2 linked regions of the Drosophila melanogaster genome follow. The protein of the gene in region 1 interacts with the protein of each later gene in a biochemical or structural test. Each region holds a gene or a part of one and is shown in the gene's direction. Other genes may lie near its edges.

Region 1 (6,655 bases):
TCTAATTCCACGACCCCTGTTCATCTTATAATCCATTTTTGCCACCCCGCATCAGGATTTCACGCAATTCTTATCTTAACACATTCACTTGGGCATATTTCAGTAGCACCCCGAATGCATTCACACATGAAAATCCCATAAAAATTGACAATAATAAGCCACATATCATCATTTCACTCTCCACACATATGCACAGACGTATGTGCGTTCCACTCGATAAGAAGTCAGCAAGGCCTGGAAATCAACCAGAAATCGAAGGCTACCCTTACGAAACCGAATCCGAAAGCCGAATGAAGAAGAAAATCCCATAAAAAACAGTTCAATGATATAGAAAAATTGATAAAGCTAAATTTGCAAAAATAACAACAAAGGCACTCGGAAAGGAGAGCGACTGGGGAAATGGCAAATGGAAAACGCGTGGCAGCGAATCAACTTTAAAATAATCCGCACAAGGCACTTGAGAATCCAAAAAAAAAAAAAAAGGAAGTCGAAGGGCACTGGAATCCTCGTGGTGTTGTCAAGTGAATAATGGGACAAATCCGCAGTGTAAATATGACACGTTGCAAAATGGCATTCGATGATAAAATAAAAAGGAATCTCACGGTTCAGGACCACACTCGAAAAAAAGGCCAGGAGACTGTATATTGTGTGTACATATGTACATATATGTGAACAAAAAGCTGATATGAAATATTTTCCTTATCTAAAATGCGCCTTAAAAATCAAGCTACATCTACATATTAATAGAAATTCCATTTAGCTCACTAGTATTTATATTTCATTGCTCTTTATGTTATATATACATTTTTATAATATACTTTATACCTTATATATAAAAAAAATTTTTTTTTTTGCTTTATACACTCATTTTTCATTTTTTTATTTTTTATTTAATACATATATATTTTTTTATAAAAGTAGCAAAAAGAAAGTTATTTTTGCAAGTGAGCACACTCATAAACGCCCCACATCTGCAAGATTGAAGTCACTGACAGACGCACATCCTTCGGGAAAGGTGTTTTGACAGGGCGTCAGGCAAGTCAGAAGTGCAGACACAACAACAGGAGCAATGGCAACAAGGGGTTAATATTTATGCCGCACCCTCACCGTAGCGTATCAATAAAAAGATCGCTCCGCTGGGCATTCAAATTGTTTGTTTGATAAGCCAGTGTGGCGAAGTACGAGCACTGAAACGAATTCTAACTTAGTGATAAACCTAGAAATAATAATATTAAGCTAGATTCATCTTTAAATTTAATATTAAACTTATTGCGCAGATATTGTAATAAAGTAATGTGGTGGTTTCTTTTTTATGTGTCTAATATTTATGTTTTATTAGATATTATTTTTTTCAGTGCTGTAAGTTTATCTGGGGCCAGACTCTCTTTTACCGAAGTTAATACAAATATTACGCCTTTTTATGCTGAAAGCAAAAAGTGCAGGCCAAATGTGGCATAAACTTTACTTTTGGAAAAAAGGGTTGGCCACACCCACCGGTTTTGTAGCCGCCCGAGAAGTTATGACATTGTGTCATTGAATCTTTATGTGTGCATTCGATATGCATTAAAATTCAATAATCATAAAAATAACACGCAAAATAAAGGGAAAATCCAGTCCCCCCGACTGAACAGCTCCCTCCAATTAACCCTTGAATGGCAGAAAAGGAAATTGTCTGACTCTGTGTCTTTCTGTGCCAATATGAACGTCACATAAATCTTGGCAACACTACTACTAAGTCGCTATTAAGTAAAATTGACCACATATTTTATCTCATATGCGCACGCAACGAACGTAGACGAAAATGGCGAGGGTCAGGGGTCATTCGAATGTTGGCTGGTGGGTGGGGAGGGCAGTGGGAGAACAAGCTGGAGAGCCAGAACAATGTGCGAGTAAATTAAGCCAAAGCTTCCAGAAAACACAAATCAAACAAAACGTTGGGAAAGGAAACAATTAAAATGGGGAATTAACAAGGTAAATACAATTAAGGATAGTAGGCTGAAATGAAAGAGAGAAAATGTTATATTATATAAAATCATTTAACCAATAAATTGTTTTATATATGTACCTTTGTTTTTTCAATATTCTTAATATTGTTGCCTGTTGCTTACTAAAAATAATGCAGTTAACTTTTACAGTGAGAGAAATAAATAGATAATTTAATCTACCTTAGAGATAAAGAAAGCAGTACATTGGGGTAGTAGAAGTAGAACTTTGTCATTCTACGTCAAAAGTATCATCACTGAAATTTGCAAGTTTTTTGCATTGGTTTTAATGAATGTGTTAAGAAATCAACCTTGAAATAGCCGCCAAATCACACAGTGTTGTCAATAAGCTCATTTTTAACTTATCTGGCAGCTCTGAAGGATTTTTAGAACCAGTCTAAAATACCGAAATATATCGATAGTGGCAATAAACTTCTCGGACCATTTTCCTTTCGTTATTTGTACGTATATATAATTAGAATTACAAATAAAATCACGCCTTTGTTTTTGTAAAAGTATATAAGATTTGGCTTATTTCACATTATCAGCAGTATCCGCATTTGCCGGCTTCTACATCGATAGTCACAAAGTATTGAAACGCCTATCGAACTATCGAGAGTACGCCGCACTCGCAGTGACGTGTACTCTTTTTTTTTAGCAAAATATAAGCCGCATCTCTACACATAGTTTAGTTTAAAAGAGCCTATCGACAAGACGCGTTGATTAAGAATTTGTTGAGATAAACTCGCAAGAGATAGACACGTAAGCGGTTTCGCAAACTCAAAAAAGAAAGATGAGGCAACTGGGTAAGTTTCCGGCCCATGCACGAAATAGACAAATTATGTTAATAATACATTTTCAATACGCCCCCGCAGCGAGCATTTTGTTGCTGGCATTTGTCGTGGGCAGCGTTAGTGCCTTCTATTCGCCCAGCGATGGCGTTGTGGAGCTGACGCCCTCGAATTTCGACCGGGAGGTGCTGAAAGACGACGCCATCTGGGTCGTGGAGTTCTATGCTCCATGGTGCGGCCATTGTCAGAGCCTGGTGCCCGAGTACAAGAAGCTGGCCAAGGCATTGAAGGGAGTCGTGAAAGTGGGCTCCGTGAATGCCGATGCGGACAGCACGCTGAGTGGCCAGTTCGGTGTACGTGGCTTTCCCACCATCAAGATCTTTGGCGCCAACAAGAAGTCGCCCACGGACTACAATGGTCAGCGAACCGCTAAGGCCATCGCTGAAGCCGCTCTGGCGGAGGTCAAGAAGAAGGTGCAGGGTGTCCTGGGCGGCGGCGGTGGATCGTCTTCCGGCGGTTCCGGCAGCTCGTCCGGCGATGATGTCATCGAACTCACCGAGGACAACTTTGACAAACTGGTCCTGAACTCCGACGACATATGGCTGGTGGAATTCTTCGCCCCCTGGTGTGGTCACTGCAAGAACCTGGCACCCGAATGGGCCAAGGCCGCCAAAGAATTGAAGGGCAAGGTTAAGTTGGGCGCCCTGGATGCCACCGCGCATCAGAGCAAGGCCGCCGAATACAATGTGCGTGGGTATCCTACCATTAAGTTCTTCCCTGCGGGCTCCAAGCGAGCCAGTGATGCCCAGGAGTATGATGGCGGACGCACTGCCTCGGATATTGTATCCTGGGCCAGTGACAAGCATGTGGCCAATGTGCCAGCACCCGAACTCATCGAGATTATCAATGAATCGACTTTTGAAACTGCCTGCGAAGGAAAGCCATTGTGCGTCGTGTCCGTTCTGCCACACATTCTCGACTGCGATGCCAAGTGCCGCAACAAGTTCCTCGACACATTGCGCACCCTGGGCGAGAAGTTCAAGCAGAAGCAATGGGGCTGGGCCTGGGCAGAAGGTGGCCAGCAGTTGGCCCTGGAAGAGTCGCTCGAAGTGGGCGGATTCGGCTATCCGGCCATGGCTGTGGTCAACTTCAAGAAGATGAAATTCTCCGTGCTCAAGGGCTCCTTCTCCAAGGACGGCATCAACGAGTTCCTGCGCGACATCTCCTACGGACGTGGCCACACGGCGCCTGTTCGCGGAGCCAAAAAGCCGGCGATTGTGTCCGTGGATCCTTGGGACGGCAAAGATGGCCAACTGCCCACCGAGGAGGACATCGATCTGAGCGACATCGATCTGGATAAGGACGAGCTGTAAGGCTGTGAGGATCGGAAATCAAGACTGTGCGGCCCAAGCTCAAATTTCCACTTATTAAACTAACAAACACTTGCATTCTGAATGATATTCATTAGTCAGCCATCGTATCTAAATATAAATAACTCTTAATTATCTTTTAGCGTTTTTCTACAATCCTCACATAGATCTAAACGAATCGAAACCAACGATCATATAAACTATGTACCACAAAATGAATAAACTGTGCAACAAAACGTGTAAATTCTGGGCAAGTGTTAATCGGGTTCGGAAAAGCGCGTTTCGTGCTTAGCGAGTTTAAAAAAATGCATAAGTTGAATTTTATACAAAGAAAAGAATTCTTAATATCCGTAAAATTCAGTTTACATTTTCTTCCTTATGGAAATGAGTTTGGCTTATGAATAGATCATTCTTCAGTTATTTCTTTGAAATGAATCATCAAATATGCTTGTTTTCTTCAAAAACTCAATAGCACCATCACATCCAAGAATCAACAAGTGATATACATATTAGTTTTTTATGTATTCCAACGTAGCGCTGTATAAATATAAAGTTATTGTAAATCAATGAATTTAATATAGAATACAGAAGAATTAGTTCATTACCACCCCAAATTCCAATAAAATGTGTGAGAATTTTACCGTTGGGTGAGGTAAAACCATTTATTTTATGTAAAACTCACATAAAAATGTCCAAAAAGATTTGTATATAAACTTTGATAGACTTAATGCTATATAACGTCTAAAAACGTTTTTTTTGACACAATATATAGAAGGATACTCATGCTGGTCTAAATGCACAAACTGAAGATTTCTTAAATGTATTCGTGGCGGCAGATTGGCGCTTAAACTATGATTGGCATGGTACAATTATTAAGTACTTGGTTTCGATTTAAGTACAACCTGTGTATATAAAGGGACGGGAATCGGCGTTTTAAAATGTAGTGCAAAATTCGAGGCATCACGAAGAGTTCGTCTGTTAGTACGATTCGGATTCTTAATGCAAATTGGGTTGCGTGAAGACGGTATAAAAAAGATCGCTAAATTCCCTTGGATTTCGAAAGAAACAACCAGGCAACGTGACTCAATTGCCACAATTTGGCTCTGTCCCACAAAAAAAATGAACAGAGAACAAAGCGGTGAGTAAACGGCTAAAACTACCTGCATTAAAAGAAATAAAAAAAGGCCAAAGATGCAGGAGGGACAAGGAAAAAGGGCCAGAGGACAGGCCAAACTTGTTGAGCCCGGGATTAAGAGAAACAACAGATAAAGAAACAGTCGGGGATGCGTAGGAAACCCAATTTACAATTATGAATGATTAATTCCCTTTCCAGCGAACTCCTCAACTGGTTATTGCTATGTGTAGTACTGCTTTGTTACGAAATTCGGTCAAAATATGGGAAAATTCTTTCAGAGCATTTCGGAACTTCGAATATGTTAAAAAAGTAATTACTTTCCAGTAATGCGAAGGGTATATAGAGATAAAATTCGAGATATTTCTTTTTAAAACTTAGGACCTAAATCTGTAGTCATACTAATGGGTTTTCGTTTCTGGCTGGCATTTAAGTCTTTTTCGCGTTACTAAATTGAAGTACTACTAAACCACTATCCTCCAGGTGTCCACACCCCGAATCAGGCCAACGTATGATGGTGTTTCTGGTCGGGATAGTTCTCTATGGATTGAATGGAGCGCGATGTGGCGGCAGTAATGGTTGAAGATACGTCCATAAACCGATATTTCTTGTCATCGCGACAGAGTAAGGGGTAGCAAATGATGCCGTAGTAGAAGACGAGGCAGAGAACGATTACGGTGAAGATGATGGCGATGATGCCGAATGTGGAGATTCCGGGTCGACTATCCAGATACTCCTTGGCCGTCTGCGGGGGCTGGGTGGTGGTGGGCGGTTCCGTGGCCTTGTAACCCCTTCGATTGTTCCGCGCTGCACTCGCACTGAAAACCAAGCAGCTGGCGCCTGCAATAACGAGATGCGTATCCGTAAAATCTGATCGCGAGGCGATTTCTTCATTTCTTCTCCCTCTCTTTCGCTCACCTAAAAACAGCACACACAACAGGTACGAACTGCGAGACATTTTTAATTTATTTCGAATTTACGATTGAGCACGAACGCGGGGCGAAATCAGTTCGTTGGCACGAGAACGGGACGCAGACGCAGAACAGAGACTCGAGAATCACACAAAGCAACAAGAAAGCAAGACAAAAACCTTTCGCGTTGCTGGTAGGGACGGACTGTCGTTGCCTATCGATACATGAAGATAGCCATCGCTGTCGATGTTTCAAATCGCAATTACAAATTTTAAATTTATGGTATATATCATAGATTCATGTTAACAAAATTGTAAGTACGTTAGTGTATATTTTTAAATGAAATAAATAAATTCAATGAATAATTAATGTCTCTCGTCACGAAAAACGAATCAATATTAAACTAGACCTTTTTTAAAACTGCTAATCCGTGACTTTTTCCCTTAAAACGATATGTGACCGCGACTCA
Region 2 (7,439 bases), on another chromosome or scaffold:
TGTACTCCAGATGAAGCTGCACATCCAGTGCGTGAACATAAGTGGCGGCTCCTCCTCCAGAGGTCACCGCATAGCCAGCATCTGCTGGTTCAGTGGCAGGGTCGTCCAGAGTCGAAAGCGTCCAGTTCTGGCCATTTGCTATGAGAACGGAAGGGTGCAGATCATGAGGAACGAAAATGACGACGGTAGGAGGTGATGCAAGCTCTAGAGTCTCCTAACTAACCCACATGACTTTTAGCACCCGCAATCTTCGACACTGGGATGCGCAATGTGGACGCCAAGTGGAACCATGATGGCACTGTGTTGGCCATTTGTGGCACCACCTTGGACGCGGTAAGTCCGACTTCGCAGCGCGACACCAACCAGGTGTGCTTCTACTCGCCGCTGGGCAAGATCTACCGCACTCTGAAGGTGCCTGGCACCGACATCACCTCGCTTAGCTGGGAGGGCAAATCGCTGCGCATCGCCATGGCCGTGGATTCGTTCATCTACTTCGCCAACATCCGACCGGACTACATCTGGTGTTACTTCGAGAAGACTGTGGTGTTCCTGAACAGCGGCAGTGCAACCAGGGAGTCGCCCATGAGCGTGATCACCTTCTGGAACACCGTCTCAAATCAGAGTTTCCTCAAGGAGGTGGAGCCCACCTTGTGCCTGGCGTCCAGCAGCGAGCATTGCGTCCTGGGCGTCGAGTGTGTCAGCAGCAACATCAAGGAGATTGCGCTGAGCACCCTGGAGAACCGAAGTAATCCTGCGGACGATAGGGTCTACCAGTTGCTCCTCTGCAATTCAATTGGCACCACCGTGGATTGTGAGTAGATCACCGTTGTTGATGTTTCGGACTAATCCCAGTTATTTTTAGCCAAGTACACGGATATTAGACCCTGCTTTGTGGGCATCAACTCGAGCTATGTGGCCATAGCGTCCCAGGAGGAGATTCTAATTTGGCACTACCACACACCCAAGGTGGGCACTTTCAGTCATCAACCTGGTTACCAATTGACTAACCCCCATTGATCTCCCTTCAGAGTGCCTCCACCCTGCACAATGTGAAGGCGCGCAAGGAGAAGCGGTTCCATATCGACGACACGCCCACGGGAGTGGAAATGGCCAAGGACCTGATGCTGAGCAGTAGCAGTGGCGATGGTCACTCCACGCAGCGGGGAATCAGTGATCCCATCTGTGCGCTGGCACTCTCCGAGAAGCTGCTCCTTGTCGCCAGGGAATCCGGCGCTATCAACGAGTACAGCATAGCAAACGTGGCTCTGAGGAACCGCCACCTGATGAACGCCAAGGTCTACAAGATGGCTATCAACTGCAATTCCACGTGGGTAGTCCACCACACTCCCTTGATACTAGTAATATTTATACTCCTTACTTAGACGAGCCGCCATTATCGACCATATGGGCGTGATGACCCTGCTCGACCTGGACGACAACAGGGAGACCCAACTGAACTTCAGTCGGGTGGAGCGCAAGGACGTTTGGGCCGTGAGCTGGGCCACGGATAACCCACTGCTGCTGGCTCTGATGGAGAAAACGCGCATGTATATCTTCCGGGGCAATGATCCCGAGGAGCCCGTGTCCTGCTCCGGCTACATATGCACCTTCGAGGACTTGGAGATCACCAGTGTCCTGCTGGACGACATAATCAGCGTGGGTGAGCTGCAGAATTTTTCGCATATCATTCAGCTGAGGGTAAAGTCCCTGCGCGATACCGACGATCTACTGGAGCACGTGGGACTGGAGGATGCCAAGCAGTTCATTGAGGACAACCCGCATCCGAGGCTCTGGCGACTGCTGGCGGAGTCTGCGTTGAAGAAACTGGAACTGGAGACGGCGGAGAACGCCTTTGTCCGTTGTGCCCACTACCCGGGCATTAAGTTGGTCAAGAGACTGCGCACCATACACTCCAAGGAGCTGCAGAGGGCGGAGATATCAGCCTTCTACGGAGAGTTCGAGGAGGCGGAGAAGCTCTACCTGGACGCGGATCGTCGCGATCTGGCCATAGAGCTGCGCATGACCCTTTGCGATTGGTTTCGCGTGGTGCAGCTGTACAGAATGGGAGGATCGGGAGTGTCGGACCAGCAGATGGAGATCGCTTGGCGGGAGATTGGCCACCACTTCGCCAACCTGCGCTCCTGGGAGAGTGCCAGGGAATACTACGAGAAGTCCCACTACCTGGAGGGTTACATGGAGGCTCTGTACCACTTGGAGCAGTTCGACGACTTGGAAAAGTGCGTGGAACGGCTACCGGAGAAGAGCCCGCTGCTTCCGAAGCTGGCCGAGATGCTGGCCTCCGTGGGCATGTGCTCCGAGGCTGTTCAAGCCCATCTTCGATTCGGCGACCAGAAGGCCGCCGTCGCCACCTGCGTTAATCTCCGGCAGTGGGGCGAGGCTGTTGAGCTGGCCCAGAGGTTCCAGCTGCCCCAGGTGCAAACGCTCATAGCCAAGCACGCGGCACAGTTGCTCCAGGAGGGACGCCTCAAGGAAGCCATCGAGATGCAGCGGAATGCTGGGCGTCATCTAGATGCAGCTCGCCTGCTTTCTCAAATGGCGGAACGGGAGCAAGAGAAGCGTGCTCCGCTGCTGAGAATCAAGAAGCTGTACGTGCTGGCTGCTCTGCTGGCCGAGGAGCACCTCAAGGCTGTGGCCACGACGGAGATCGACTACGCCAGCGGCAGGAACACCCTACTGGACTCCATTGCCCTGGAGGATGCGGCCGCCATCGAGAGGCTTTGGCACTGCGCCGAGGCCTACCACTTCATGCTCCTAGCCCAGAGGCAGCTTCGCTTCGGGATCGTCCACAGTGCGGTGGTCACTGCGGTGAGGCTGCGCGACTACGAGGACGTCCTGCCTCCAGAGCACATCTACAGCCTGTTGGCACTGGCCAGCTGTGCGGATCGGGCCTTCGGAACCTGCTCCAAGGCTTTCATGAAGTTGGAGCAACAGGCTCATCTTCCCGAGGCTACCCTTCAACGGTACGAGGAGTTGGCGGCTGGGATCTTCGCCAAGTACGATCCGGAGGACACCACTGGCGATAGGGTGGATTGCTATTCCTGCGGAGTGCCCGTGCCAGATAGGTAAGTGAAGGGTCGACGTCAGAAGCTGGATTATAATGATGATACTCATGGAATGCCGATCCTTTCAGCTCCCCCTCCTGCCCCGAGTGCAATGCTCGCTTCCCGGCGTGCATCTCCTCCGGGAAACCCATCACCCAGCCGACGAACAACATATGGATCTGTACCACCTGCCACCACTGCGCAGCTCCCACCGAGATCTCCAGGCACCGAACTTGCCCACTGTGCCACAGTTTGATCGTGTCCATGACGGTGGAGATCTGAAATGAGCGGGGACTAGTGTTTTAATTACTCCAGCTGTTTTTCATTCTGCTTATCCCAGGTGGTACAGGCGTATCTACTCCGCAAATAAACAATGTAGTTTTAAGATAGAATTCAAATTTATTTTCAAGTGAAAAGTGTTATAAGTGGAAAGAGTGACTGTTCACAGTGAGTATTTCCTGGGGAGTGCGCTAGGGCCACACTACTAGCTCATCCAACACTCGCAAAGCGGTCACACTGGCGAGTGCAGCTAAGTAAGTCGGTTGTCCGTTTCTTGCTGAATTTTAAATAAGTTAAATAAATTTCTGCTTCGTGCGGTGGTGTGCGTACGCAAATATAAAATAAAGTAAATAGTAATTGCGGTGCTTGCGAAAACCAAACGAGCTCCAATTGACCGACGAAAATACTTAAGTGCATTAAAGAATTGCGTTGTTGTGCGTCGCGCCCGTTTGTCCTTATTGTTGTCGTTAGTGGAGTGCACGAAAAGTAATTGTTTTTATTTAAAGAGGTTGCATTTTAATTGCTAAATCAGCTCAGTTGCGAGTAGAGTGCCAAAATAGAGAGTAGCGACAACGAAAACAAGTTTTTGTGGATGGTGAGAAAGTAAAAACAATAGCAAATTTATATATATAGCTATATATATATGTGGTAAGGTGCTGTAAGCATTTAAAAATACAAATCCTCTCGAGGTTTTAATGGCCAAAGTTTCGTAAACGTGTAAATTGAGTGGAATTCGATTGCGAGTGCATTCTTGGTTTGTTTTGAGTGAGAACCGAAAACCAGTTTACACCGTGCTTCTTGCCAAGGTGAGTTTTAACCCCAATCGTGGCAGTTTAACGTTAATTTTAGTCATTGTTATGTTGTTAAAAATAAGTTTTCTTCTGTTAAATGTGCAATTTCGCCTGGTTAGCTTTGTCAGCTCTCTTTCCCTTCCACCTTTCTTCTTTCCCAACGAGCGGTTTGTTTATGACCGCAGTAGTGCACTTGTGTGCGTGTCAATTAGCGCTTTTATCGGGCGCACACCAAGAACAGTTAAACCTGTTCTGGTTTCTCTTTCGCACAATTTAATGGCCTTTCTTTGGCTTTAGTTTTGCGCTTTCGTCGACTTCTTCTTCTTTGTATCTCATGCATGTATCTTTATATCTGTCATTCGGGGAATTGGCAGCAAATCGGCAAACTTCTCTTTCATCGACCCCCTGCGACCAGCACCTCGCTCCCTGGAAACCCGCATCTTGTGGATTCTTTCCAGTTTCCAGATTGCTGCTGAAGCTTCCAGCTGTCACAGCCGCAACAACAACAACGCCAACGGATCAAATGAAAACCCAGCCAGCATAAACTCACACACATCGAAATTGCCTAACTAACGCACACATTAAAATACAGTCGATGCATCGTCACGAAAATAAATAACAATAATAGCCGTTTATAATTTAGATCAAGTCGCAAAAAATTTTTTTGCGTTTAATTCTTTATGAGTACTGATTAAGGTATCAGTTCAGCGATATTTCATATTACTTCTGAATATGGGGGTGCACACAAATTAAGATATATGTAGAAACCGTTCTTATTTTTTATAGAATTCATTAAATAAGTATGGAATAAACTGCGATCATATTTCCCATACAAAGCATTTTTATTTTTCACACAGTTTCCTTAACCAAGCGATTTTAAGCTTAACCTTATATTTCTGACACTGGCAATGGAACTTGATTTTTATTATCATACGTGATTTAATGAACAATGACGCCTGCTTAGGACACGAGCTTCGAAATGCAATGCACAGCGAAAAGTCCCACAAGCCATTGCAAAATTAAAAACTGAAATGGCACTCAGAGGTGCACTCTCCCCACCCTCGGTATCATATCATATCATACCATGCCGTACATGTCACAATGTCTGTTTAGGTTCCTTTATGGAGCCGGGCTTTGTCGTCGCCATGATTACTCAGCTTTATTGATAATGCTGGGTGGAGGAGTGGCAGGGAGTGGCTGGGATGAAACCTCCTGGGATTTCTTGTCCAATGTGGCGGTGGTTAGAGAGCAACCCATGAGTCGGGATGTTAGTTTTCCCCTTATGATTACGACATTCTCTGTTCTCTATCTTTTCGCTTTGGGTTTGCATTATCCAACATTTTTCTTTGCTTTCTCCGTATTGTTGCAAGTGCATTTCGCTTTTGCTGATGATTATGCTTAATTCTTGTTCGTCTGTCTGCATTGCAATGTGTGGGTGCCTTTCCACTAGAATAATATACACATGTTTTCTTGGTTTTCAGCTGAAATCGGTTCTCTTCGCTGAATCAATCGAGAAAGCTTCTAGCTCTATCCAAATTCGGGCTAGAAATCCGAGCTTCGCCCGCTAATTGGCCAATACAAACTGAGGTGTTGAGTGTTTGGCTCACTTGTGAAATGAATACGAAACAGCTGAAATCACTGTTTCTCACTGATACTTCATAATGGCAGCTAACATCCATCCCAAAATAATAACGTTTGAGAACCCTTTGCCTCTTTGCTTTAATTAAACTGTTCACTGAAAGTTTTGATTGGCCTAGCATTTACGTAGTTCACAAATGTAAGACCCTAGACCTCGTGCAAACTGATATTCTTTCAATAATTTCATTTCCTGGGCCAGAACAACTTGTTTTTATACCAAATCTATTTCTTGCCATTGAAATCGTTTATTATTCTTAATAATCGTTTTTGCCAAATGTGCTTTGTCGCCTCGCCAAGGCGTTAAATTGCCCACTGAACGCCAAACATATGCGTTGCGGTTATTGGAGATGTGTATTGTGGATTCAGTAAACTCGACTTTGATTTCGCTATCCAAAGTACAGCTCAAGTGAGGGCTCCTCCTTTGTAGAATAATTCTGTTTATATAAAGCGGGAAGCGACAATCTTTGTTTAGCCTTTATCAAGTGCGCAGTACTTGAAGTTGGGGGAATAGCTGGCTCATTTTCCCCCTATGCTTAAGATTATAGTAATCCAAGTCAAATCCAGATGTTTACATATGCACTGTGCTGAATCAATTGAAAATACATCACAAAATATATACACACAACTTGAAGAATATAAGACCTACTCTTAGCTCTGATGGAGGTTTAATTGGAACGAAAATAGGCAATGCTTATACTTTATAAAATACATATCATTCTAATTGAATGAAATAGACGAATGCCATTGAGTTTTTTTAACAACAAAGCTTTCTCCTTAGTCCGAAAGTATTTCGCAGATTTTCTTTGGTTTGTTTTTGTTTTGTTTTTTTCTTTCGAAAGCTTTCATCGAAAATCAGGAAATTAGTCATATATAAGTACCTACATATGTATACATTATAGACAGATTGCCAGCGGAAACGGACTCGCAACTTACTTCTAATCAATCTTCTATTACCTTTGCTAACATTTTATGGTTCTCCCTCAACTTTTCGTTGACCCCTTCCGATTAAGAACCACTATCAGTGTGCCTCATCGTGTTGTTTCTGCTTGTCCAATACTGGGCGCAGATAAGGGCGAGGTATGATAAATATGAGGTGTGCCAAAAGTACACACATATTGGGAAAGGTCTGAAATACAAACCTGCGAATTGAGCGGTAGATTGACCCGAAGTTCGAGCCTTAGCCAGACTTTTGTGAATGAAATCCGAGTGACTCAGCATTGGAACAGATGCTGGGTATGCGGTATCGATGAATGGTGCATGGATTCGATACTCGATAAAACAAACTGTGCCGAACACGTTTTCCATTGAAAAATCTCGCACACTCGCCTATTATACATACAACTAACAGATCCGTATAGTTTATAGACTATAGTCTAGCATTGTTTAACCTAAGGTGACTCATCCACGACATATTCATTTAGCTCATTAAAACACCAATCAGGCATGTAAACAAATAAGTAAATTGCAAATGTAAGCTCGTTGTCTCGTGCAAGTTCGCATTTTAATATGATCTACATATGCGGAAGGGAAGATTGAGTGGCAAAATGAAACTTAATGGCAATGGGTTAGAGTAACACCCTAGTTTATGGTTAATATTTTTGATTCCAAAGGTTTATACTTTGTTTGAAAAACGTGGACTCTGCTAATCGTTAAAATGAAAGATTTAGCA

Evidence for each region.
Region 2: the proteins of CaBP1 (region 1) and drpr form a complex in vitro, tested with the Drosophila melanogaster proteins (one study listed by BioGRID).

What each region holds. Positions count from the first base shown.
Region 1 is NT_033779.5:16,352,673-16,359,327, reverse strand, and holds CaBP1 (calcium-binding protein 1), read left to right. Parts: upstream 1-2,592; 5' UTR 2,593-2,775; coding exon 2,776-2,788; intron 2,789-2,857; coding exon 2,858-4,146; 3' UTR 4,147-4,442; downstream 4,443-6,655. Other genes in the region: CG4455 (uncharacterized protein), read right to left, coding at 5,775-6,115, 6,194-6,233. UniProt on the Drosophila melanogaster protein: Binds to both apoptotic cells and phagocytes and promotes Drpr-dependent phagocytosis of apoptotic cells.
Region 2 is NT_037436.4:1,727,233-1,734,671, reverse strand, and holds the start of drpr (draper), read left to right. Parts: upstream 1-3,564; 5' UTR 3,565-4,147; intron 4,148-7,439. Other genes in the region: Oseg4 (outer segment 4), read left to right, coding at 11-185, 239-811, 863-966, 1,029-1,327, 1,383-3,083, 3,152-3,344. UniProt on the Drosophila melanogaster protein: Receptor which is involved in the phagocytosis of a variety of cells including apoptotic cells, severed and pruned axons, degenerating dendrites, salivary gland cells, germline cells and bacteria.